Astyanax mexicanus: one gene and its partner. Each later gene encodes a partner of the first gene's protein in a complex. Links are inferred from orthologs where the notes say so. Each region holds a gene or a part of one and is shown in the gene's direction. Other genes may lie near its edges.

What was found.
Region 2: ttf2 (region 1) and akap17a share a complex: the UniProt entries of both Homo sapiens proteins name them as parts of the spliceosome. The link is inferred for Astyanax mexicanus from reciprocal best matches to the Homo sapiens genes TTF2 and AKAP17A.

The regions. Positions count from the first base shown.
Region 1 is NC_064418.1:26,407,537-26,419,409, reverse strand, and holds the start of ttf2 (transcription termination factor 2), read left to right. Parts: upstream 1-6,923; 5' UTR 6,924-7,024; coding exon 7,025-7,052; intron 7,053-7,275; coding exon 7,276-7,387; intron 7,388-8,997; coding exon 8,998-9,084; intron 9,085-9,170; coding exon 9,171-9,240; intron 9,241-9,550; coding exon 9,551-10,519; intron 10,520-11,873. UniProt on the Homo sapiens protein: DsDNA-dependent ATPase which acts as a transcription termination factor by coupling ATP hydrolysis with removal of RNA polymerase II from the DNA template. May contribute to mitotic transcription repression. May also be involved in pre-mRNA splicing.
Region 2 is NC_064418.1:637,628-650,138, forward strand, and holds the start of akap17a (A-kinase anchor protein 17A), read left to right. Parts: upstream 1-6,940; 5' UTR 6,941-7,111; intron 7,112-8,935; 5' UTR 8,936-8,946; coding exon 8,947-9,702; intron 9,703-12,511. Other genes in the region: sowahca (ankyrin repeat domain-containing protein SOWAHC), read left to right, coding at 315-2,015. UniProt on the Homo sapiens protein: Splice factor regulating alternative splice site selection for certain mRNA precursors. Mediates regulation of pre-mRNA splicing in a PKA-dependent manner.

The DNA.
Region 1 (11,873 bases):
AGAGGTGAACTGGTTAGCAAAACTACACAAATTTCTTTAAAAATGTAAAACTTAAAGAAATGCAGCACTGTCGGGTTATCTTGTCATATTAAGTAAAACAAAACAGTTAAAAGAACTAAGAAGTGTCCAGCAAATGGTTAGCATTCATATTAATTTCTTAATTAGCATTCCACCTTAAAAATAAAAAAGTACAAACATACTAAACACACATAAATAGTTTTTACTTAAACTGAACGCAGCCAGCGTGTGACTAACTAATTCACTGACTGAATTAAACACTTACATACAGAAATTGAAACATATATTACATAATTTAAGTACAAAATGTCAAGCTGCGCCTTTAACTACCTTCTGTTAGAACGCGATTTACAGAGAGCAGGAGAATTGAGTAATTAATTAATTATCATACTTTTCCTCTACTGGTGCAGGAGCTGCAGAAACTCCGCCCATGTTAACATATTACAGTAAACTATGCTTGTTTTTATATGTATTGATATGCTATATTGCTATAAATAAAGGGACCTATAAAATAAACAAATCTTGATGAATTTATAACAAAAGTAATATTTCGATAAAATTATCCAATTTTTCTTGAGCTGTGTTCAGTATTGCTTACTATTACAGAAATAGTGCACCATATAGTGTGCCATAGTGCTGTTCAAAATCTCAACAGTACATTTAACTCAAATCAATTTTTATGTCAGGATAAAAAGTCCTGGTTCCTGTCATTTTAATCGTTTGCTGTAAAAAAAAAAAGTCATTTTCTTGTCCTGATAAAATCAGCAATATTTAATGAAATTTTAACTATTGACTCTTTCACATTGTGACATGAACATTGTGAATAAACAATAAGCACCCAACCTAAAGCAGCAAGGCAGCCCAGTTCATTTATTAAGGGGTAAATCAATATTCACCTCCGGCTTTTTATTTTTCTGTGTTTTTTTTATTTTTTATTTCATTGTTCATTGTCCCTTGTTCTTGTAAATAACAACCAGGAGCAGTATGAAAAGAAAGAATCTGAAAAGGAAATGTAATGACAAATTGTCTGTAGACGTGAGAGAGTATCAGGCCACAGGCTTTTTAAGTGTTCTAGTACATGATTGGCATTAGATGCATGTTTGATAATGCAGCTTTGATACATATATAGTGTAATATCTGATCTGAATTTGACATCATTATGTGTCAACAGTTTATTTGAAAGATGCTGCACAAGGACACCATATTTTAGGATGTTTGCAAGGTTTGTTTTTGGATTAAAAAAAAAAATTAACATAGTGCCTCTTTAAGCTCCCACGCTCTCCCCCTCTGCCCTGTCTGACAATAGTAAATTGCTTTCCGCAAGTGTTTTCTAAATGGGCAATCAGAAGCTGTTTATTGAGAGCTAGTTCACACATGTACTCTATAATACGTAGAAGTGGTCAAGGTAATCATTGTGTCTGCTTCAGTGTACGTGTGTTGCATATTGGGTTTGTGATAATGTGCATGAATGTCAGTCACGTCTATAATCTATAATCATCCAAGCTGCTGATGACTTCTATGTAGGTTTAAAGGTATTTTAAAGGTACTTTGTTATGAGGTATCGTTACACACTTACATATGTTACTAATTTACACAAACCACTAGTGTTATATGCAAACACATACACATCTTAGGAAGTAGCTGCTTAAATTAAAAAGACATGAACAGAGACAGACATAGACAAGGTGTAAGCATGGTGTAATACATACAGTTTCAGTTCTTTTCCTTCTCTTTGTAGATACTGCTTTCCTGCATCCCTTTTAATTATTTTTCCCTTTCTTCCACTACATTATTATTTGTTATTTTTGCAAGGCTGATCCGTTCCTCAGGCATTATTTATTTTATGCTTTCTGAGTCAATAGACCTTTAACATATCATCATTATGTGTAAACTGTCCAGAAACCAAGAGTAAGAATAGGCCTGAATTTTTACAATAGCACATCTCATTGATATTCATAAGGTGAGCTCAGGCTTGTTAAACTCGGCATGTTGCTACAAACAAATCAATTTTTGACACAAAATGCACTCTTGAGGGCTCAGGAGAGACATAAGACACAGATCCTTCCTAGGCTTGCGAGAAGATGACCTTTCAATTTGTTTTCTTGTATCAGATTTGTTGGAAAGGAGAGAAATATATATCTCCCTCCTCCCTACTGACTGTTTTGTAGGTTTTTTACAGTGCTCTGGGACTGCAAAAAGAGAAAGGCACACTATACACATACACACACACACACACAAATGTTTTAGCCTCTAATGAGAAAAGGCCCTTAAATAGAAGAAAAAGCCCTAAGCAAAAAGAAACACAAGCTTAATCCTGCTGACGGATGACAATGTTGCGGCTTTTGCAATTGCCGATTATGGTGATGAGCTCAGTGTCAAGATATCTGCTGTATTTGCTGGGCAGAAGTAATCAAGTGGAGAATACATTACAGAAAAGCACAATATAAGTGTGGTCAGGTGGCGGTGTTAGACACTGTGTATTTTTATTTTGATGGTAAGCAGTGGTAGACACTAACAACATGTATTTACACTTTATTAGGCACACTAGGTACAACTGCATGTGGCCTTTGTTTTTTGTAGCCAAAGTTAGACATTTTGTGTGTTCCTAAATGCTCTTTTGTTTATTTAAATTACTGTACCATTACTGTCAGCTTATCTAATCTTAAGTCTATCCTTTTTCATTAACCTCACAAAACGACAAACGGTTTTGGTACTAAAACAGCTAGTTAACCTATGCTTCTATTTATTAAAACTGCATGTGGCCTTTGTTATTTGTAGCCAAAGTTAGACATTTTGTGTGTTCTTAAAAGCTTTTCTGTTTATTTAAATTACTGTAATATTTCTGTCAGCTTAAACCAGTCTTTCATTTTTCATTAACCTTACAAAACAACAAGTGGTTTTGGTACTAGAACAGCTAGTTAATCTATGCTTTTTATTTATTACAAAGAAAAACTGCATATAGAAAAGTATAGACTTTCTTTACTTTCTTATCTTTTAAGTATAGTTTTTCTTTTAATTTTTGTACAGTTTTTCTTTATATTTTTCTGTGTACTGTGAACTAAAAAAAACAAAAAAACACTAGGGATTCTGCTCTTACCTCGGACACGTTTGTCTCTTTTTTGTTGGCGAAGCCCACCGTACAGTCCTTACACTCCTTCACACATAAACCCAACAGCAGTAACACTCACAAACTGGAGAACAGTTTTAGGTCTCCTGCTTATTCACTGTTTCTTCAGGAGGATTAAGAAAAGAGTTAAATCTGCTTTAGTTAGAGTAACTCTTTACTGTATCTCTCTCTAAGTCTTTCAATTAGACTAGCATTGCTGTGAGTAACTAATTGCATTAAGTGACATAAACTTTGAAGATGTGGGCACCTCATTCCAAAATACTGGGTGAAGCACCATCATTGCAGAGAACATAGTTCCACTGTTTCACAGTTCAATACATAAGCAGAAATAATGCCTAAACTTTACACATGGGGCCAGTAAATTCATATTTATATGCTCCAAAAGGGCCTATTCTATTAGCAATACAATTTAAAGTAGCTGAATGTATTGACTGTGAGGGGATGTCCACAAACCTTTGGACACATGTAGAGTTAGCCTTAAGCTTTTAAAAATGAAACAGTAACTATAATATCTAGACATAGCTTTACTTTGGATACATGTTTTCTTGTAATTTAATTTACACTAATTCTTATGTAGACATATAGATATAGACTGTTTTACAAAAAGTCTGTATGTTCACTCAAATCCTGGATTTGTTCATGCTGTCCACTGCTACGCATTATATTGGCATTATATTTGTTATTTACCTTTTTCATAACTTAGCAGACAGTCATAAAGAAAGAGAGAGAGATCGGGTTTAATGTTACAGAAACAGAAAAATGCAGTATTTGGAATTTTTTCCAAGGTTTTTTTGTGCAGTGTGGTAAAATACATTTGCCTGTGGGGGAATCAAACCCCAGTCCAGTCTACCTCATGGAATAGCATAGCAGTAAATAACATCTCAATACTGATATCCTGGGCCATGTCTTCTTTTCCCTAGCTAGGATTAGTTTAGTCAGTCATATAGTGCTTCAGAGTTAGAACTCACACTTCCCTGCAGTGTGTTTTCCTCCTCAGCCCTCCCTCAGTGCGCTGTGGCACCTCAGGGGAAACCCTGATTGAAATATCTGAGGCCAGTGTGTAAAAGGGGGAGAAAAGTGCTGTAAGCGAATGGCACTTTCCATAACAGGATTATGACTCAGATAAACGTCTGTCTCAGCACAAAAAAAGGCATATCAAAGTATTGATAAGCGTACATTACCTCATCTACACTGTCAAGCCTCAGGTGATATTTATGCTGATGTGACAGCAGGGGGTTCTTGCTGTCCTACTTTAACTTAGAAGCATCTTACAACAGTTCAGAGGCCTGACCTGAGGGCTACATGTGCGTGACCAAAGTGTGTAACATAGTCTGAATCAGTGGCAGGAAATCAACCAAACACAACCTGCTCTTCATTGAGGCACAGTAGATGTTTCAAACTGCACTGTGCACTGATGTGTGCTCCACTCATCAGGCCCCAAGGCTGTGTACTGTATCTGGGGTGTGTGTGTGTGTGTGTGTGTGTGGCGAGAGCTCTGTAAGGCAGGGGGGCAAAAGAGTGTGCGGCCTTCTGGCCACAACACGACTGTTTCTCAACTGTTTCATCACCATCACTGCAAGCCAGTCTGTCCTCTGTAAGTTAGCATTATTCCTGTTCACTAAATATAACTTCCCAGCCAACATTTTCGTATGGGGCTCACATGAGTGAAACATGGGGCTAGGTGGGTTTCAGGTGGGCATGGGTTCTAAATGGGTTTGCACCTGTGATGCTAAACCCAGCTGGGCCTCATAAATGGGCCTCATCATTACAGCCATCTTATTCTCACATGGGTCCCATCAAGGCCTCATGTGCAGTGTATAACCCAGATGAGACCCATGTTTAACCACTTCTGGTCCTGATTGGGCCCTTCACATGGGTATGCTATCTGGGTTTAAAAACTATACTACTAAAATGTTATTCAAAATTTGTTCAGTCACATGCAAAAGCACAGACATGCATCTTAGGTGTTGATTTAAAGCCAATCAACTGCTGCAAAGGAGTGATGAATAATATCAGTCTAAACCATTAGCATGTGTTCATGTGTTCCCAATTTCAACATATGACACATTCCAAATAATTATGGACCCAAATATAGAGTATAAAGTATATTCTCCCATCTGTTCTATGCACAGCACTGGCTTTACATGTGTTTTGCAAATTAGCACTTTCTTACTCTCTTAAAACATATAATAAACAATACAGTAGGGTAAAATAAATGGTGTACCCAACTGGTTTGTTTTCTAACTTGGTTAATTCTATTTTGTGGATATCCTTGAACTGACAGTTAAACACAATGTCCAATATGTAATTTTGCGGTCTTCAAACGTCGACTGAAGACACATCTTTCCTAAACTAATAAAAAATAAAAAAAGGTTCCTAGGGTTCTAAACATGATCAAGATCTGCGTATCTCTTGATCCTAGTCTACAAACTAGCTTTGGATATTTGAAGTAACATTGAAGCACTGTTGTAAGTCGCTCTGGATAAGGGTGTCTGCTAAATACCCTAAATGTAAATGTAAATGTAAATGTAATTTACTGGCTACTTCAGATTGTTTAAAAATAAATACATAGTCATTTTTCTTTCTATGAAGGACATAGTAATATTAGTAATATTGCTATTGTGCTCAATGACTTTATTAAATCAAGTTTTATTGTAGTTAGAGATATACCGTACAATGTTTTTAATACTTTATTTTGTATGTTTTAGATGAATATTTAAGACATGAAAACAATCTTTTGGGATGAGCTGGAGCTTCACAGCGTGAAGAAAAAGCAGCCAACTATTTTTCAGCACCTCCAGGAACTCTTTTTTTATTATGCCTTCAATATTAAATTTTACAATGAAAAAATCATAAAAAGAAAGAAGAGGTGTTTCTAAACTTTGACTGGTACTGTATCTATAACACTGTGATATTGAATGTAATCAGTACAGCCCAACATTCATGTAAGTCTGATTATTCTGTCTGAATTTAAGACATAATGCATTTACAGCCACTTGGAAAAAAGTAAGTTATAATTACGAGATTATTAGTTGTAATTATGAGATAGAAAGTTAGACTTACAATATGGTAAATTATAATTATTAGATAGAAAGTCAAAAATACAATACGGTAAGTTATAATTATAAGGGAGACAGTCATAGTTACGAGATGGTAAGTTATAATTATGAGATAGAAGCCATAAATACAATACGGTAAGTTATAATTATGAGATACTATGTCTGGGGGTATGATTTGGTATCTCAAAATAATAACTAAGTATATTTTAAAATAGAGACTTAGTATCTCAAAATAATGACTTGGTATCTCAAAATAATAACTAAGTATATTAAAATAGAGACATAGTATCTCATAATATGACTTAATATCCCAAATTAATGATTGGTATTTCATAAAAATGACTTGGACTTAGTATATCAAAATCATGACTTAGTATTTAAAAATAATGACTGAGTATCTCAAAATAATGACTTGGTATCTCAAAATAATGACTTAGTATATAAAAATAAAAATGTAGCATTTAAAAATAATTATTTAATATCTCAAAACAGTGATTTTGTATATAAAATAATGACTTGGTATTTCATAATAATGACTTTATGGAGGACCCAGCAGTGAAGCAGGTAGAAGTGTGTTTATAGTGTATGATGAATTTACTCGGTCAGATGGTGTGTGATGGTTTCCAGTGTCTCCAGTATGAGGTAAGAGTGTCACCTGGTGGTGAGGAGAGGAAGCGCAGCTCTGGTGTCTCCTGACCCGGTTGGCTGAGCGGGGAGGTGACGCCATCAGGACGTTACGGGGAGGCAGTACACACTAACCGGCGAGCGGGCTCCTTACATTAGCTCCGTCACAGAGCTACAGTTTACACCACTTTACACCATGCAGAGGGTTCTCTGTGATAAACACGGTAAGCGGCACGTGACTAGGGTTAGTTCACTTTATGAATAAACTGGTAAGTAGTTAGTTAGTTAGTTAGCCGGTAGCCGCACTCCAGTGCTTTGCTGTATAGTTTAGCGTTAGCTCTGAAAGTGCTAACATTAACTAGCCAACAAACCGAAACATCTGCAGGCCTGAACTGTGCAGGCCTGGTTTAACCGCTGAGCCTATTTAACCCTGTGTTTTTAATTCAGGCGGGTTCTGCTTGTTGAAGACCGGGGTGAAGGAAGGGCCGAATAAAGGGAAGAGTTTCTACGTTTGTACAGCCCGCGACGAAACACCCTGCACTTTCGCTCAGCCTGCCGAGTGAGTACTGACTTATCTGAAAGCTCTGCATCTATTTTCTTATTTCAGCCATTTCTCATTTTCTGCAAATATATGTTCTAAATGACCATATTTTTATATGGAATTTGTGAGAAATTGCTATCTGTAGTTTATAAAATGAAACAACAATGTTCATTTTACTCAAACATAAACCTGTAAATAGCAAAATCAGAGAAACTGATTCAGAAACTGAAGTAGTCTCTTAAATTTTCCAGAGCTGTTTATATGGTAATTTACATTATTCTAAAGTAAATACACTGTAAATATTTTAAAATGCTTTATATAAGTTGTCTTGCTATGTACACTTTTGTATTACTGTTGAAGAGTAACTGTTTATTTTACCTTGAGTGTATTGACAAATATCTTTCAATTATGATTACTTATCTTAGTATCTATAATTACATAATCATTGTGTGGAACCTTGTATTCTATATGCATAGCCAATACTCACATTGTATTTGATCATTTTTATTACTCACAGTGTATTTTACACGCATTTATATAGAAGATTAACCAATAATCACAATATATTCTTTACATATATAGTAAAACATTGTTTGATCAGGCATGTGTCTAACACAGACTTTATTATGACAAATTAACCCACACGATACATAACACGTTTACTAACACATAGGACCTATTATATGGCGGACTAACCACGCGCTACTAACACATTAACATATAATATATGGAATCCATTGTGTGACGTGTGTAGCTTATGCTTGAAGCATTTCATTCACTGCATGTTTCTGACTAACGGCCATCAATCATCAGCTAGTGCACTCTGTACGAACTGAATTGATACAAAGGAGACTTCGGGACGAACAGTGCGGCCTTTCTCTCTGTGCGTGCAAAGTTCTTCACCTACCAAAGCGGGAGGAGGACACGCGCACATAGGGAGGGCGGCACTGTCTGATTACTGAAACAATATCACACTGTCTGACTGGACCCAGTCAATTCTTGAAACAATACTACACTGTCCGGCTGGATACAGTCAAGGCCAAACACTAGTGGTCCGGTCAGACCTGTGAAACTACGCATGCTAACATGAGATGATTTTAGCAACGCCTCATCAGCAGGTTTCACGTCATTTGGGGTATAAACATGGAGTCAGATTAGAGGGGGGTCAGAACTTATACTGAGACAGCTAATAATTGGTTTTGTATGTTCTCCTGGATCCAGTACTTTGTAATAAATACTTGGTTTGCTTTCAACTTCACTCCACCTGTCTGACTCTCTCTATCAAACGAACACGCAGGGGAGTTGTACCCCGGACGAGAGGTGGGTATTGACCCACCTTTCATTTTCATTTCTACAACACTGTGTATTTGTATCATTTTGTATATCTCAAGCAAATAATAACAGTAAGATCAAATTGTTTGGTGCATCAGAGGAACACTATTATCATGAAAAACACATAATTTTTTTGTGTGTGCAGCACAGACAAAAAGCACAACTTGACAGAATGTTTTTAAGAACATGTTTAATGCCATAAGTCATTGGTTTGTATCCTTGGCTTTGTATTATAGACTGGGTGTTTATTTGAAGATACTGTACTTTGCTAATATGAGTTTATTCCTAATGTCAAGAGTTCCACCTTCTCACTGCCTTCTCCATGAAGATGCATTGGTCGAACTTCAGGCTGTAATTCACAATGAAAAACAGAACAATTACAAGTAAGTTGTGTTTTTAATTGTGTGTTTTTATATTGTGATGGAAGGTTTGCAACGAATATTTTGATAAATCATTTTTTAACCATCAGGTTATTGTATCGCTGCGTGACAGGAAAGAAAGAGGGACAGAAGTGGTGTGGGAGTATTCCATGGTTAGAGGTAACTATTGCTTATTAAGTTGTGCTTAAGCTTAATTAAGTTAGTATAACTGTAATGGATGCAGTTAACTACAGAGAGGTTATTGGTTATGGAAAAAGAAGCATCAGTAAGCCAAGCAACTTACCTACTGATGTTAGTTTCTTTTTAAAATAACCAATGTCCTCCATGTAGTTCAATCCATCCATTATTACAGCTGGTTGTTGTAGAGTGTTTATTCTTGACTGTCCAATACAACAAGAGAATCACAAACAAAGAAATGTAAAAAAAAAAAAAAAAAAACTTTGGTATATTTTTTCTGCTTCTTTTAAAGAAAGATACAGAAAGGAGTCCCTTGTCAGACAAAAAGAATCACCATTCAAGTCTACCTCCTGTTAGAAACCCCTTCAAAGCCCCTAGCAAAGTAGACCAAACTTCAGAGTGGAGAAAACTTCAAGAAGGAAAAGCAGTGAAAGGAGAAGTGCCACAAGAAAACATGAGAGGTTCTAAAAGTACAGCTGTCTCAAATAGAGAAGTCACCAGTTGTGCAGAGCAAGAGCCTGAAGAGTCTTGGAGAAATAAGCAACTTCCTGCAGGAATGAAAATAAAAAAGCGAACATCTGATGAGGAGAGGAAGAACAGTGGCAGTGGTGAAGTGGCTGCTACTGGAGCAAAGGACACTGAGGCTTCAAACGCTAACCAAAAGTTTGAAAGTATAAAGCAGCAACAAATGGAGAAAAACTTGAAATCATATGCCCAAGGGGTCCACAATAAAGAGGAAAGGGTCGAAGCAGCCCCAGACACTGTTCAAACAGTTCAGTCAGAAGTCTCCCAACAAACCCCTCCTCAAAAAGCTGAGGGTATTCGTCATAAAACATCTGCCGTACACTGTGTAAAGCAAAACATCACCTCTAAGGAAACTGTTACATCAGCTGTAGACTCGCAGCTACTAACTTCCACTAAAAAGACGCCTAGTCCACAACCTGCCAAAGCAGACAACCCAAACTCTACATTAGAAGTTCCAAATGGTACCCAAGCTACAGAATCTAACCCGAGTCAGGAGAAAACTCAGAAGAGCAAGAGCTCTATTAACTCTCCTTTTGGAGAGTTTAGTGATGAGGATAATGATGTTCAGCTGGTGTCTGTGCAGCCAGGTCCTGTACAGGCCTCCCTAACCCCAACTAGACAGGTTCAGAAAACCCTCACATCCTACGCTGGCTTCCAGCCTGCCTCAAAAGTCAAGAGTAAAGAAGACCCCAGAGCTCTCCACAGCCAACTAACATCCCAGCTTAAACAGAAGAAGGTACTGTTGCATTTTTCAGTTTACATAACTTTTGTTTTAATGAATGCATCTTTTTTCATTATTTGTCTGCTGTTGTTTTCCTTTTCAGACAAAATGAATTATGCTTAGCAAATCCATGCATCTTGGGCTGATTGAGTAGCTATAAAAAAAAGGCTATATGTAAATGCAATCAAGATGCACTGCTGACAGTTTGCTATTTCACCACTGTTTCAAGAGTGTTTCAGGATGCAGTTTAAATATATAATCTTTTCAAGACATATGTACTACAAAAAAATTCAGCTGGTTTCTTTTCATTCTTTTTACATTAGTGCTGGACAGTGTGGCCAAAATTTAGATCACAATATAGTTCTAACTCCTGTTGACACACTTTAGTTCTGATATTGATGTAAATAATTTAAAAACCAAAGGAAAAACTGCCTAGAATGGCCACAACAAATACCTCTACCTACAAACCCAATGATTTAGCCAGTTCATGTAGTGCTTCCTGTAACGAATGTCAGTCCGTGACAGATGCTGCAAATAATGTAAACTTAAAATATTGGAAATGTATTGTTGTATATTGGGTATATTGGGTCATCATGCACATTCATGATAGTCACGTCACAGGCCGTGCAGTGTTGAAATTTCCCACACTTCCCATTTCCCATAGGCATTCCCAATTACCAGAGGCAGATTATATATGTGCAGCATAATTAATTTTACTCTATTTAAGGAAAACTCTGGTGTGTAATGGACTTGAGGTGCAGTGAAATATATAATATATATAATGATAATGACTACAAACTTTTGACGAATAGCCCACTTTTGTTCCCTGCCAGCATTCCAAAAATAGAGCGCTTCTAGCCGATGCTCCCAACAGGCTTACAATGTTAGCAATAGGGGCAAAGCATTGCCCATGCAAAGAAATGGCTATTTTTACATCATTAACCAGCTCAAGGTAGCTTCACACTTCATTGACAGAATTCTAAGGGCCCTGACAAAAAAAAGAGGTTTGAAAGCGCAAAGGTAGTTAATTGAAACATTTCATTGAGTCATCATATGTCGACTGACGAAGGCGACAGTTTTCAGAAGTAACTCTGTGGAATTGCATGAATAATCTAAAGATATTTTTAGCAACAGTTAGACTTCATGCATTTCCTCAGAATTAATTTAGCAATCTGTTCCCCTATCTTACCTATTTGTTTGTGCTTAGAAGTCGACTCAGGGCTCTTGGATTTCTGCCAATAATGTTTGAAGTAACTTTAAGCTTGTTAATGGTGTGAAAATATATATTTTTTCATGGGTAACGCTATTCCCTTATCCCTAGTATTGGATAGTCTGTTGGGAACATCAGTTCAAAGCACTGTATGTCTGA
Region 2 (12,511 bases), about 26 Mb from region 1:
TACTTTACCTTTTTTTGAGTCCCAGATCCTGTTATTTCATGCTGCTCGTGTTGCAGTGTGTTTAAGTGTGTAGGGAGCGGTGGAGTAAATTGAGACGCAGCCTGATGTTAAAGCGGAGTTGCTGGGAGCCAACAGGGAGGATCCAGGAGTCCAGTTTCATCCACCCTGAGCTCAGAACACACTGCGACCCCTGCCTGCATCTCTACCCCTGATTTATTCCTGTTTAAACCGCTGCGCTACTTTAGATGAGGAAAAACGGGATGGAGCACAAACTGCATCCATTACTCTGTTTATAAACATCTCAGAACAGCAGGATGGAGTGCACCCAGGAGTCTGTGCTGGAGTTCCTGCTGGAGAAAGGGGGGCGTGTGAGGAATAAGGAGCTGACAGAGCATTTTAAAGAGTTCCTCACTGGAGGGAAGGACAGGACTGTGGCCAGGGAGACCTTCAAACGGTTTGTGGATAACATTGCCTACGTTAAGCAGGAGAACGGAGAGAAGATGGTGTGCTTAAAGAAGAAGTACCGGGAGATGAAGAGGAGGATGAGGGATGCAGATCATGATGAGGGTCATGCAGAGAATAATAATCTGAGGTGTGAAGATGAAGATGACAGCCATGGTCGGGAGACTAATGGTCAGGGGAATAAGAGGATGCTCAGTGCTGTGGGTGGGGATGCTGATGATGCTGGTGGTGGTGATGATGCTCATGATGAAAAAGAAAAAGAAGAAGAAGAAGACAAAAGAATGGATGTGTCAGACTCAGAACCAGTATCTGACTTGTGTGTTTCAGACATTGCCCTGATTGAAGTGACCAGCTCTGACTTGGCACAGGAAGAACAGAAAGGAAAGGACTGTGGAAAATGTTCTGGGAATGCCAGAGAGGCATGTGAAGCTGAGCATGATGTAACTGAGGTCACGACCTGCCCTACTTCCACTTCTGGAAAACTGGCCAATCACGCGGAGCATGAATCCATGGATTGTAAAGGAGCTCTTGCGGCTCAACTGGCAAGCCGCCGCAGATCCTCTCGAGGGTCGCAGCGAAGCCTGGTTGCTTCCTTTGACGATGGCGTAAGCGAAGTCGACGCTCTAGGTGCCTCAGGTTTGGGCGCAGAAGTTGGCACAGGAACACCAAGAGGGAGCCGAAGGAGCTTTGTGGAGATCATGATGAGCAGTTCTCCACAGGTGAGGCGCAACCTGTTGCGCAGGAGCTCCCAAAGTCAAATGATGAGCCGAAGACGAGAATCTCTGAAGAGCGATGGGGATTCGGGTTCTATTCTGTCCTCTGTGGACGAGGACTGTGCTTTGGTATCTCTAGACCCTCTCGAGCATGAGTGGATGATGTGTGCCAGTGATGGGGAGTGGGACAGTCTCCAGCGTCTTCTGGATTGCGAGCCGAGTCTTGTCACCAAGAAGGACTTTGTGACCGGCTTCACGTGCCTGCATTGGGCTGCCAAGCAAGGAAAACACGAGTTGCTCGCAATGTTGGTCACCTTCGCCCAGCAGCACTCTGTCGCTGTCAACGTGAACGCCCGCTCCAGTGCCGGGTACACCCCTCTCCACCTAGCAGCCATGCACAACCACATAGAGGTCATGAAGCTGCTGGTTGGAGCCTACAATGCGGACCTTGAGGCGAGGGACTACAGTGGGAAGAAGCCTTCCCAGTACCTCGATCCCTCGGTGGCGAAGGACATTCAGGATATTGTAGGAGCTTGCAAGGACTTTGACTTGGGTGTTGAAAATGTAGAGTACAGTGCTGGATGGTGGCGCCTTCCCAAAGTTCTCCAGTCCAACCTTAACCCATTGAGACTTCTCAACCCGCTGGAGGAACCTGCGTCTGACGGCCAGGCCAAGCCAAAATCGCTGTATCGCAAGGCTTCCATTGGCAGGATCAAGCTAAATAGAGGCAAGATAAGGACTCAGATAGTTCACAGCACCTCATTCAGAGAGACAGAAGAGGGCAACCGGTCCCTGAAGAGTCCGGTCAAGTCCAGACCCGTATCTAACCTCTTTGGATAATAGAGGAACGTCTCTGAACGAGGACCTTTCCTGAAACTGTCCCAATTTTACCTCTTAGGTGCTGTCGGACAGTGTAGCATTGTTTCACCCCCTGAAGCATTCACGCGGCACTAAGCTCCCCGTTTCGCTAATGGGCTTAAACACTCAGATATGCCTGGATATCCAAGCACTTAGGCTCTTTAACAAGAACGAATTAAAAAACAAATTAGTAAAGCTTTAATCTATGTTGTGAAAATGTGACCAATAGGGATTAGCACTACTGGACCAATGCATTTGACACTTTGCTATATTTTAAGGTAGAATTTTAAATACACAGTTTAAATACATGGTTAAGATGTAGATGAAGTACAGGTATTTTATTTCAGAGTGGGTTTAGTGTTAAAATTCTCTGACAATTGGGAAAAAATAATGAGAATGGTGGTGAATGGATTTAAATTATTCTCAACATTCCATATTAAAAATGTCTATATTTCTGTTGTAGGTATAGAAGAAGGATGCTTGCATTTATTCACCACAAGTAAAGAAATCTGAGTCAGTATATTTCTCTACAATCAATCACAATCACCAAATCCTGCTCTTTTTATCTCTTTTTAACATGAATTAAGAATGTAGGTGAATCAGTGGAATTTCCCTTTAACCTGGGATGCTAGCTAGTGAATTTCTGAAGCACATTCATGCTATAAAGTTGTGAAATATAAAATATGCACGCTGCCTGCTGTAAACCTGGTGTAGTTTTTGCACGGTTCTGTTTTGGGTGTTCTGATGGTGAACAGTGTGCCTTTACTGCTCCTCCGTCTTCCGGTCCTTAACTGGATTAATGTTGCTGTTCTGATGCTTAAAAACACTTTACAATAAGGATACATCAATTAACAGCACTTCCTAAAGTAATATATATATATATATATATATATATATATATATATATATATATATATATATATATATATATTAATATCACATTATATTATGCTTTTTTTAGCAAAAAAAAATAATCACATTAATGTGAATAGCCAAAATGTTTACTTCACAAACTGTGCTTTCATTTTATTTATGATTGTTTTTTTTTATATATTTTAAAATATATATTTCATGTCAGTCTGAATGTCTAAATTTTCTTTTAAAAAAGTTAATTACTGTTACAATTCATGTAATTGTAATTTTATGCTATGCAATTATTGTTATATCAGTGGCATAAAATTGTCCTTTATTGCAATTATTTATGGGACAATATATAGACACAAATATATATTTTGTGTGACAGGCCTAATTAAATGTTTAAAATTAATATCTCAACAAATTCTTAATTGAAACTACTTAAGGCATTATTAAAAATTACTTGACATTACAAAAATGTTAATACTTAAGAAAAATGTATGTAAATTATATTTAAATGTTAGTTAATCATTAGTTGAGATGTTCTGTTATAAGGACTGTAATTAATGTAACATTTATTGTAAAGTGTAAAATGGTACTGGTGGCTTTAGATGTGCGTTTATGCATAAATGTGAAACACAATCATGACTGTTACACACCTGCTTTTAATATGTTAATATGTTTAATATGTTGTACATGCTTATTTGTAATGCACTTTTTATATATTTTTATAATCTGAATCTTGTTGATTATTTGGAACATTACTTTTGTGAATGTGATCAGAATTTAATCCTCCTGTAAAAGAGAAACTGGATCAGACTCAGACTTCACCTCCTCAGTGTTTGTGCTGCTTATTCTGTACTACAATAAATGAGATTACTGCACATATAATCATTTAATCTTCTTATTTTCAGATTTCTGTAAAAAACATATAGAATAATGTGACTGTAATATTACAATGATTTGTAAAGAGTACATTTTTTTGCCAGAAATTTATGCAAACAAAATAAAATCCGCTATCATTTTTTTTTTTAAGAATTAAAAGGAAAAAGTATATGATGCAAATTCAAAAGAGAATTAAATTTGCTGTGGATTTTTTGCGGATAAAGACTTTTGCTCCTGGAATTACATTTTTTTTTGCTTCTGAGTTTTGGCACAGTTTTCACGGGTGGGTGAGGATTCAACTGATATCATTACTTAAAACAAGTATTATACTATACTATACTATACTATACTATACTATACTATTGTTACATATAAATGTATTTATATAAAATAGTCACAGCAAGAATCAACTTATAATAATGTATATAGGAATTATATTATAATAAATAAATTATACTGTAATATGAAATGAAATTATATGAGCAAATCTAATAATATGTGATGATTTTGTGTTAAATAAAGTGTAAATACATTACATTCTCATTTTGCTACACAATTAATTTTAACACACTAAAACATATTAAAACATACTAAAGTGCTGGCACATTAAATGTACATATACTCATTAATTTCTTATTTTTTCTATGTGATAAATTCAGTAAATAGAATAGAAATTGTTTCTACAATTTTATTTAAGAACAACTTCAGTTTCACACTTTAACAGTGTTTTTTATTCTCATCAATTTATCAGTGAATCATTATTTCATTATTGATCGTTTCTCAGAGTAGATAATAGTCAGCCATCTGGAGTGTGTTCATTATTTATTAGACTGAAGTTACCTGATCCTCCTCCACACATCTGATAACTGAGAGTCTGAGAAGATGAAACTCTAAACATCTGTTTTAATTCATAGTGTTTAGTTTTTCTTCTAAGAGGAAGACTTAACTTAACTTAAAATGTTAATTTAGATAAGATAAGATAAGATATTCCTTTATTAGTCCCACAGTGGGGAAATTCATAGTATTACAACAGCAAAGGGATAGCAAGGCACTCAGTAAAAAAAGAAAAGATAAAATAAACAGTACAATATATACAAATAAAAATATATAATATATAAAATATAATATTTTATAAATAATAATAAAAAGTCAGATCTACCAAATGTTCAGAGACCCAGTGTAATCATACAGTTCAGTGTAAAATATGGGGAGTGTGTATGACTGCATAAAGAATTATTTTAGAGAATATCAATAATAATATAAAAACTTTTCTTTTGTTTATGGTCAGGCAAGGAAAGTTTATTTATATAGCACCTTTTATACACAACGGTTATTTGAAGTGCTTTACAAACTAGAAAATACACCGAGAAGTCAAATAAAAAAATATATATAAATAAAATGGATACCAAAATTAAATAAGAATAAAACATGATTCAAACATGATTAAAACTATATTTTTAGATATTTAAAAGAAGGAATTGTTAAGGAGAAGGTGGGTGAAGCCAGTTATGATTTTTCCAATTTTAATCAACATGGCAACACCAATCCATGCCAATCCATACTCATCATGCTCATCTGTAATCAAACTGTACTAAAATAAACATGTTAAACTCTGATTTAGCTTCATTTTTGTATTTTCTGCTGAGTGTATGTGTTCTTCAGTCCTGTCCTACATCTCTATTTATCTATTTATCTGTTAACACTATTTAATTTGCTTTATGTTAACATTAGTGGGACATTGAGTGAACAGTGACCTATAAAACCAGTGAGCTCATCACTGTTACATCATTTCCAGCACAGATCCCCCAGGAAACTGTGCCAGTTTCTGCCAGCCTGCAGTTAATGCACCATTATGATGGTTATGATGGTGTTTTTTTGTGTTATTCGAGTTTAATTACAGAGAGAGAGAACACAACATGCACTTGTGCCCTCAGACAAATAAAACACATCAATGCTCATTACTACAAAAAACTAAAAAAAACAAACAAACAAAAAACAAATATATAAACAAACTGAGAGTGAACATTTTCTCCTTTTGTGTGAATTTGTTTTAGTTAGTGTGCAATAGAATAAGATACTGTTTACAGCTTAGTTATACATTATTCTGTACATTTGTAGTAATTAATTTTCTAGTGTTTTAAAAAAAGCACCAAAATAGAAATAAAAAAATGTAATATCGTATATATATATATATATAATGATTTTTATTATGATGGATAATAGCAGTAAGAAAAGGTTATGTATTATAAATGAAGGTATTGTAACACTACACCGCCTGATGGCGCTACTGCTCGGCTTTGTGAAAGAAGCTATCACGTTTAACGTTTCTGACCCCTGCCATAATAAAAGTCCTTTATGTATTGAGTTAATGGGACGTGCCCTGAATCTAGTTCGTCAGGCTGTTTTTTTTATTTTACAGCATGGTATTTTTTATTATTGTATTTTTGTATATTTATATTAATGTAGTACATTTTGTATTCAATGTTTATTTAATTTATTTTCAGCACTGTTTATTGTTATTATATTAACATTAAGTATGATGAAAGTGTAAATGTAATGGAAGCCCATTTCCGTCACCTAAAAAAAATACAGCACATTCTTTTTTTATTATTAAGGAAATTCATCTCATTATTTTTGAGATAGTAAGTCAAAATAAGTACTTACTATCTAAGAATATGGCTTGGAATCTTAAAATAATGAGATAGTATCTTAAATTAAGGACTTACTATATCAAAATAAGGAATAACTATAGCAAAATAATGACTTAATATCTTAATCTAAGGACTTATTATTTTAAAATAATGAGAAAGCAGTTTAATAAACAATAAGAAAATAATTTAATAGTAATAGTGCTGTGTGTAAGTGTGTAAAGGCTGCAGTAGAGAGTGCAGTAACACCATCTGTACCAGCACTGCTTTACTACAGAATAAGGGTTTGTAAATTTACATTGTTTAAAATAAATTTTCAAAGCTCAGTTTATTTACAGTACTACTTACCAGATGTAATATATTATTATTATCATTTTCTTTTTTACAAATATTTACAATATACAATTTTTAATGGCAAAATATTTTTTTTTCTTTTCAACTTCAGTCTTTGGTATAAACAAATGTCAGACGGTATAGATAATTAATATAGATATTTAATTGTTATAGAGCTTTTATTTTGAAATGTGTGTGAGCAGAGCGCCGGGCGGTAGTCGGTTGCTGCTGGATTCACTGTGCGGCTCTGTGTGAGGGACGCTTTCAGGCCTGAAGATGTAAAAATACAGAAAATAAAACAGAGAGACAGACAGACAGAGAGAGAGAGACAGAGAGACAGACAGCGCGGTGTCTCCGGTAGGTTATTGGTTAATAATGTTTCTGATGGTTTAGTAATTGCATCAGTAAAGGATAATCAGCAGCTGGATTCAGTAAATAGTGATTCTCTGTTTACTCTATCAGAGAAGATTCAGGATCTGTGATTAAGGTTTGTGTGTTTATCTGATAAAATATTTCACATTTAAGCTCAGAAATCTCATTAAAAACGTGTTTTTTAGTAAAACAGCGCTAAGGTTCATTTACTATCTAACCTGTAGCTACATAAGCTAAGCTATCTGTTAGCTACATGAGTAAGAGGTTAATAACAACCGGGCTGCTGTTTCTCCTCCTCTGTTACCGGTTTTGACCCCAAATTCCTCTCAGAACTCCGGTAAAATAGTGCTTCAGATATCTCCCAGTTTATTTATCACCATTTACTGTGATTATTTTCTGTGTTAAAGCTTTTAGAAGCTTTCAACTAGGTAACCTAAATCTAAAGGGTTCAGATTTATGTTTCCATTCATAGTTCTATCAGTGAATGAATTGGAGAACTATGAAGTGAATTTTGTGCCAAAAGTGTTTGCAAAAAGTATATTAAGTATATAAGCAAGTATATATATTTTTAAATGTACTTGGTTTACTTTATTATTATTATTGGCAGTTATTTTGATAAGAATATTAGTTTGGATTTTTCCGTTTTTCCTTTTTTTCCTCTGTGTTTTTGTGGAATTTTGTGGATTTTTCTGTCAAAGACTTTTGCTTGTGGAATCTCTTGTTTGATTCTGCTTCATTTTTTTGCTTCTGAGTTTTGGCTCAGTTTTTACTGGTTTTACAAAAATTAAGCAGAGACGGGCAAAATTCAAATGTCTGGAAAGAATAATAAAGTATCCAAGTATTTTTTATAAATGTATATAATAATAATAATAATAATAATAATAATAAGCTTTATTTATATAGCACCTTTCATACATTAAAATGCAGCTCAAAGTGCTGTACATAGAAAAAGGCAATCAAAACACTATTAAAAAAGGAAAAATGGAGAGAAAAAAACTGTAAAATTAAAGATAAAAAGGAACATTCAAATAAGATGTAATAGAAAACAATATAATATAAAATAAAACTTATAAACCTTAAAATGACAATAATACTAATAATACAAAAAAATGTATATGTATATGTATAAATAAATAATGTATATGTAAATGTATATATATTTTTCTCTTTTGATTTTGCCCCATACACTTTTTTCTTTTGATTCTTAAGATTTTGATTGCGGATTTTATTTTTTTGCGTAAAACGTTTGGCACAAAATTCACTCCATAGAGAACCTTTACATCCCTGTGCTCCAGTAAGGGGCCACAAAATGATTTCATCAGTCACAAAAAAAAATTAAATGTGCAATCAAAATGTTGAGAGATTTTGTGGATCATAGTGACAGCAACTTCCATAAGACACTTTAAAAGCTGCAGCAATCCACAAAACAAAATATGTTACCAGAAGAAAGAAATACAGAAAACAGGAATACAAGGAATATGTAGCTCTGAGAAGAGACTCGATAAGTAATGTAGGCGTTAACTTTTGGAGATATTAACTCCAGATTCAGTTCATCAACCAATGAATGCATGTTTGGTATCCTAAAGAAAGGGTTTGTTAGCAGTGTTAGCCTAGCATCTCCTGCTGTAAACCAACAAAGATTCGTATTAGCTAAGTATTCCTTTAAACCCTCCAAAATGTGTAAATATATTAATATATATGTATTACAAATAAAACATTAACAAAAAGAAGATACTTTCAACTTCTTTTTCTGTCTTTAGTCATTTTCACCATTCACCTCATTCATACTCCCTCTGCTTCACCTTCCAGCTGCTTCCAAAATGACCACCATCATCCATGACACCACGGAAGCTGTGCATCTGTGTCAGGAGTACCACCTCTACCTGAAGCCCATCGCCAAGATGACCATCAGCGTGGCCCTGCCTCAGCTCAAGATGCCTGGCAAGTCCATCTCCAACTGGGAGGTGATGGAGAGGCTGAAGAACATGGTTCACCCGGAGCTCTTCTCCTCGCTGAGAATCTCCAAAAGCACCATGGACTTCATCCGCTTCGAGGGCGAGGTGGAGAATCGGGGAATCGTTAAGAGTTTCGTGGCGAAGCTGGACGGAAAGAGCATCAAGCTGAGCGGCTTCACCGACATCCTGAAGGTCCGAGCGGCGGAGAACAAGGTGGACTTCCCCACCCGCCACGACTGGGACTCCTTCTTCAGAGACGCCAAAGACATGAACGAGACCGTCCCCGGGGAGCGTCCGGACACCATCCATCTGGAGGGACTCCCGTGCAAGTGGTTCGCCCTGAAGGACAGTTCTTCAGACCGGCCTTCAGAAGCTGTTCTTAAAATCGTGTTTGAGAACTTCGGTAAAATCCGTAACGTAGATATCCCCATGCTGGATCCCTACAGAGAGGAAATGACCGGAAAGAACTTCAACACCTTCTCGTTTGGCGGCCATCTGAACTTCGAAGGGTACATCCAGTACGAGGACCACACCGGCTTCGTCAAAGCCATGGACACTCTGAGAGGGATGAAGCTGATGTATAAAGGAGACGATGGGAAAGCTGTGGCCTGCAACATTAAGGTCAGTTACCTGCAGCTAGGGCTGTGACGATAATTTTATTACCGCAATACCGCGGTTATGGGACGTCACCGCGGTGATGAGCTCATTACCGTCATTACCGCATTTTTTATGGCTGTCAAATCTGATTGACTGCGTTTTGAGCGGTAGTAAAATGCTCCATATAAGCACAACTGTGGTGAATTCAGTATTAATATGTCAAGTGTAAGTCCTACACTATAGGGCTGTGCAATATATCAAATATATTTTGATCGCGATAGATATTGGTGTCAAACGATCTCAAAATTCATAATATCGAATATAAATTTTTTTGTCATTTATCTGTGCTGCCGCTGCACTGGCGCGGCAGCGAATGGGTTAAGCAAAACGCGGTGCGTGGTACTCATTGAGGTCAGAACAGCTCTGGAGTCTCCTGCTCACTTCGTCTCCATTGAGGCTGCTGAAGAGAGTGAAGATTAGCAGCACTAATATTGGCTCGGAAATGGAAGCTACAGGGCAGGCTCAGTAAGTTGAGAAAAAAGGAAGAAAAAGACTCAGAACAGAATAGAATCATCTGCAAGATTTGCCGGAAAGTGGTGTCTGCACCTCTCGCCAACACATCAAACTAATTCACCCACCTCAAGGTAAACCATAGAGCCATGTAAGGTGTTCCGTGGTCACATTTTGAGAAAGTAAAATATATTAATTCATTGTCTGGCTGCTGGCTGTTCTGCGTGAGCACCGCGGAGAACGCGCGGCATTGCGCCTCAGTCTTGGTAAAAATAGTAAGGTTGGTTGAAGTGTAGTTCAAACAGCAAAGCAATGATATAAAACTATAACCACCATCTTTACTGAAATGTTGTTATCTGACCAAGTCTGAGGTAAAATGCGCTGCGCCTTGTCTCTTTCACAGCACGCGGAACTGAGTTCAGAACCGCTACAAATATAACCATATGAAACTCAGTTCAGATAAATAAACTTCAGATGAGTAAGGACAAGTAAAGTGAAACAAAAATTGTCAAACATAAAGGACAGGTTTCTATTATTTTAAAATGGAACTAATGTCTTTTTTTTGGTCGGTTGTCTCTTGCGAGCCGATTTCTTAATGTCACGACATTTTAATCAACATATTATATGACGCGGGTCCCGTCAGGATATCTTGCGGCACAGACAGAACTGAATTGTTATTGGCGGGAACAGGAGTTTAATCAATCCAGAGGATGTGGGAGCACATTAATAAATAGTTAAGAAAATTGTAATAATCACGCAGTGATTCTCATGCACGCAACAAAAAAACCCTAAGCACAAAAAAGGAGCGGAGAATGGACCGACACGCGCACACACACACCGATTTTTTTTTGTAATGTGGTAAGAAACGTGACCGCACTATTCAGCGCGGTTTTAATAAATATGTTTTTTTAATTTTAAGCACTAAATGTAATTTATTAAATTTATTTAGGACCGCGGGGCAGGTGCGGCAAAACTGTGTATGTGGCGGGCTGATGCGGGATTAAAAGAAGGATTTTTTTTGCGGAACGGTAACGGGACAAAAAAGAAATGATGTCTGAATTAATTTCCTCCAATCGAATATAATTTAACATGGTTTAAGAATATAAAATAATTTATAAACAAACGAAATATTTAATATTGAGCTAATAGCCCAAGTGCAAAAATACAAAATCTGTAATACTCTGCACTGCACAATTCAAACGAAATAGCCGTAACGCAGCTGCGCTCCTGCCCTGCGATGCAGCCGAAGCCTGGTGTGAGGCAGCAGAAATTCTGGGGTGAAAACTACATAACTACACAACATAAGGAGACATAATGCACTCCAAATATTCAGGAGGGAAGTGAAATAAATGATACTGTACAGATATAATCTGTATCTAGTAGATATTTAATGAGAAATAAGAAGAGTGTGAATAAAAAAAAAACAGACGCCTATCACAGACTTCTTGAGCCTTGAGCCCGAACGGCCCGAGGAAAGGGGTGAGAAATATATTTTTTTCGGGGCCGGGGGTCAGTGGAAAATTTTGCTGTGGATTAATTCGTCTTTTTTTTTTTAAACGAATATTAGAATATTCGCTAACAATTACTGCCGAATATCCTGAGCTCAAAACCGCTATTGGGCCAGCCCTAAAATAGATCTATGGATGGAGAAGGGGGAGGCGGACAAGCTCCTCCTTCAAAAAGTCTGCACGGAAAAAGACAGGTTAGCTGTACAATGACGAATTATACAGGCAGCATATGTTCACTTGTTATGCTGTATTTATGGTTTATGTAGAGGTTGTATGTAGGCTGTATGGTTTGAAGAATAAAGATTTGTTACCAATAAATTTGTGGGGTTTTTTTTTGGGGGGGGGGGGGGGGGTCTCGCGGTTAACCGCAATATCGCGGTGATGCGTTTTTTACCGCGGTTATAAAAAATCAATACCGCCCCAGCCCTACCTGCAGCCCTTTTATTATCGTACAACATGCTGATATGTTGCGTATGGTGATATAGGGGTTACGTTTCAATTATAAAATTTGTATCACAATATATATTTTTAAAATTTAGTTCGATATGATATTATTCAGATATCGATATAACTGGTATAAAACTCGGTGTACACTTGGTATACGTATTCTCACACAATATGTGACACTAGTAAGGAACAGAGGTGTCGCCATGTTTCCCTTCTAATTCAGCAGGTCTCACTGCTAGACTGTGGCGAGGTAAATAAGTTAATTAAAGCTAAGTTAAGTAAACAAAACTGCATTTTGCATTATTTTTAAAGTTAATCGAGTGCTGGATGTTAATCTACACACATTTCTCTTCTAAAAACTGTTTATT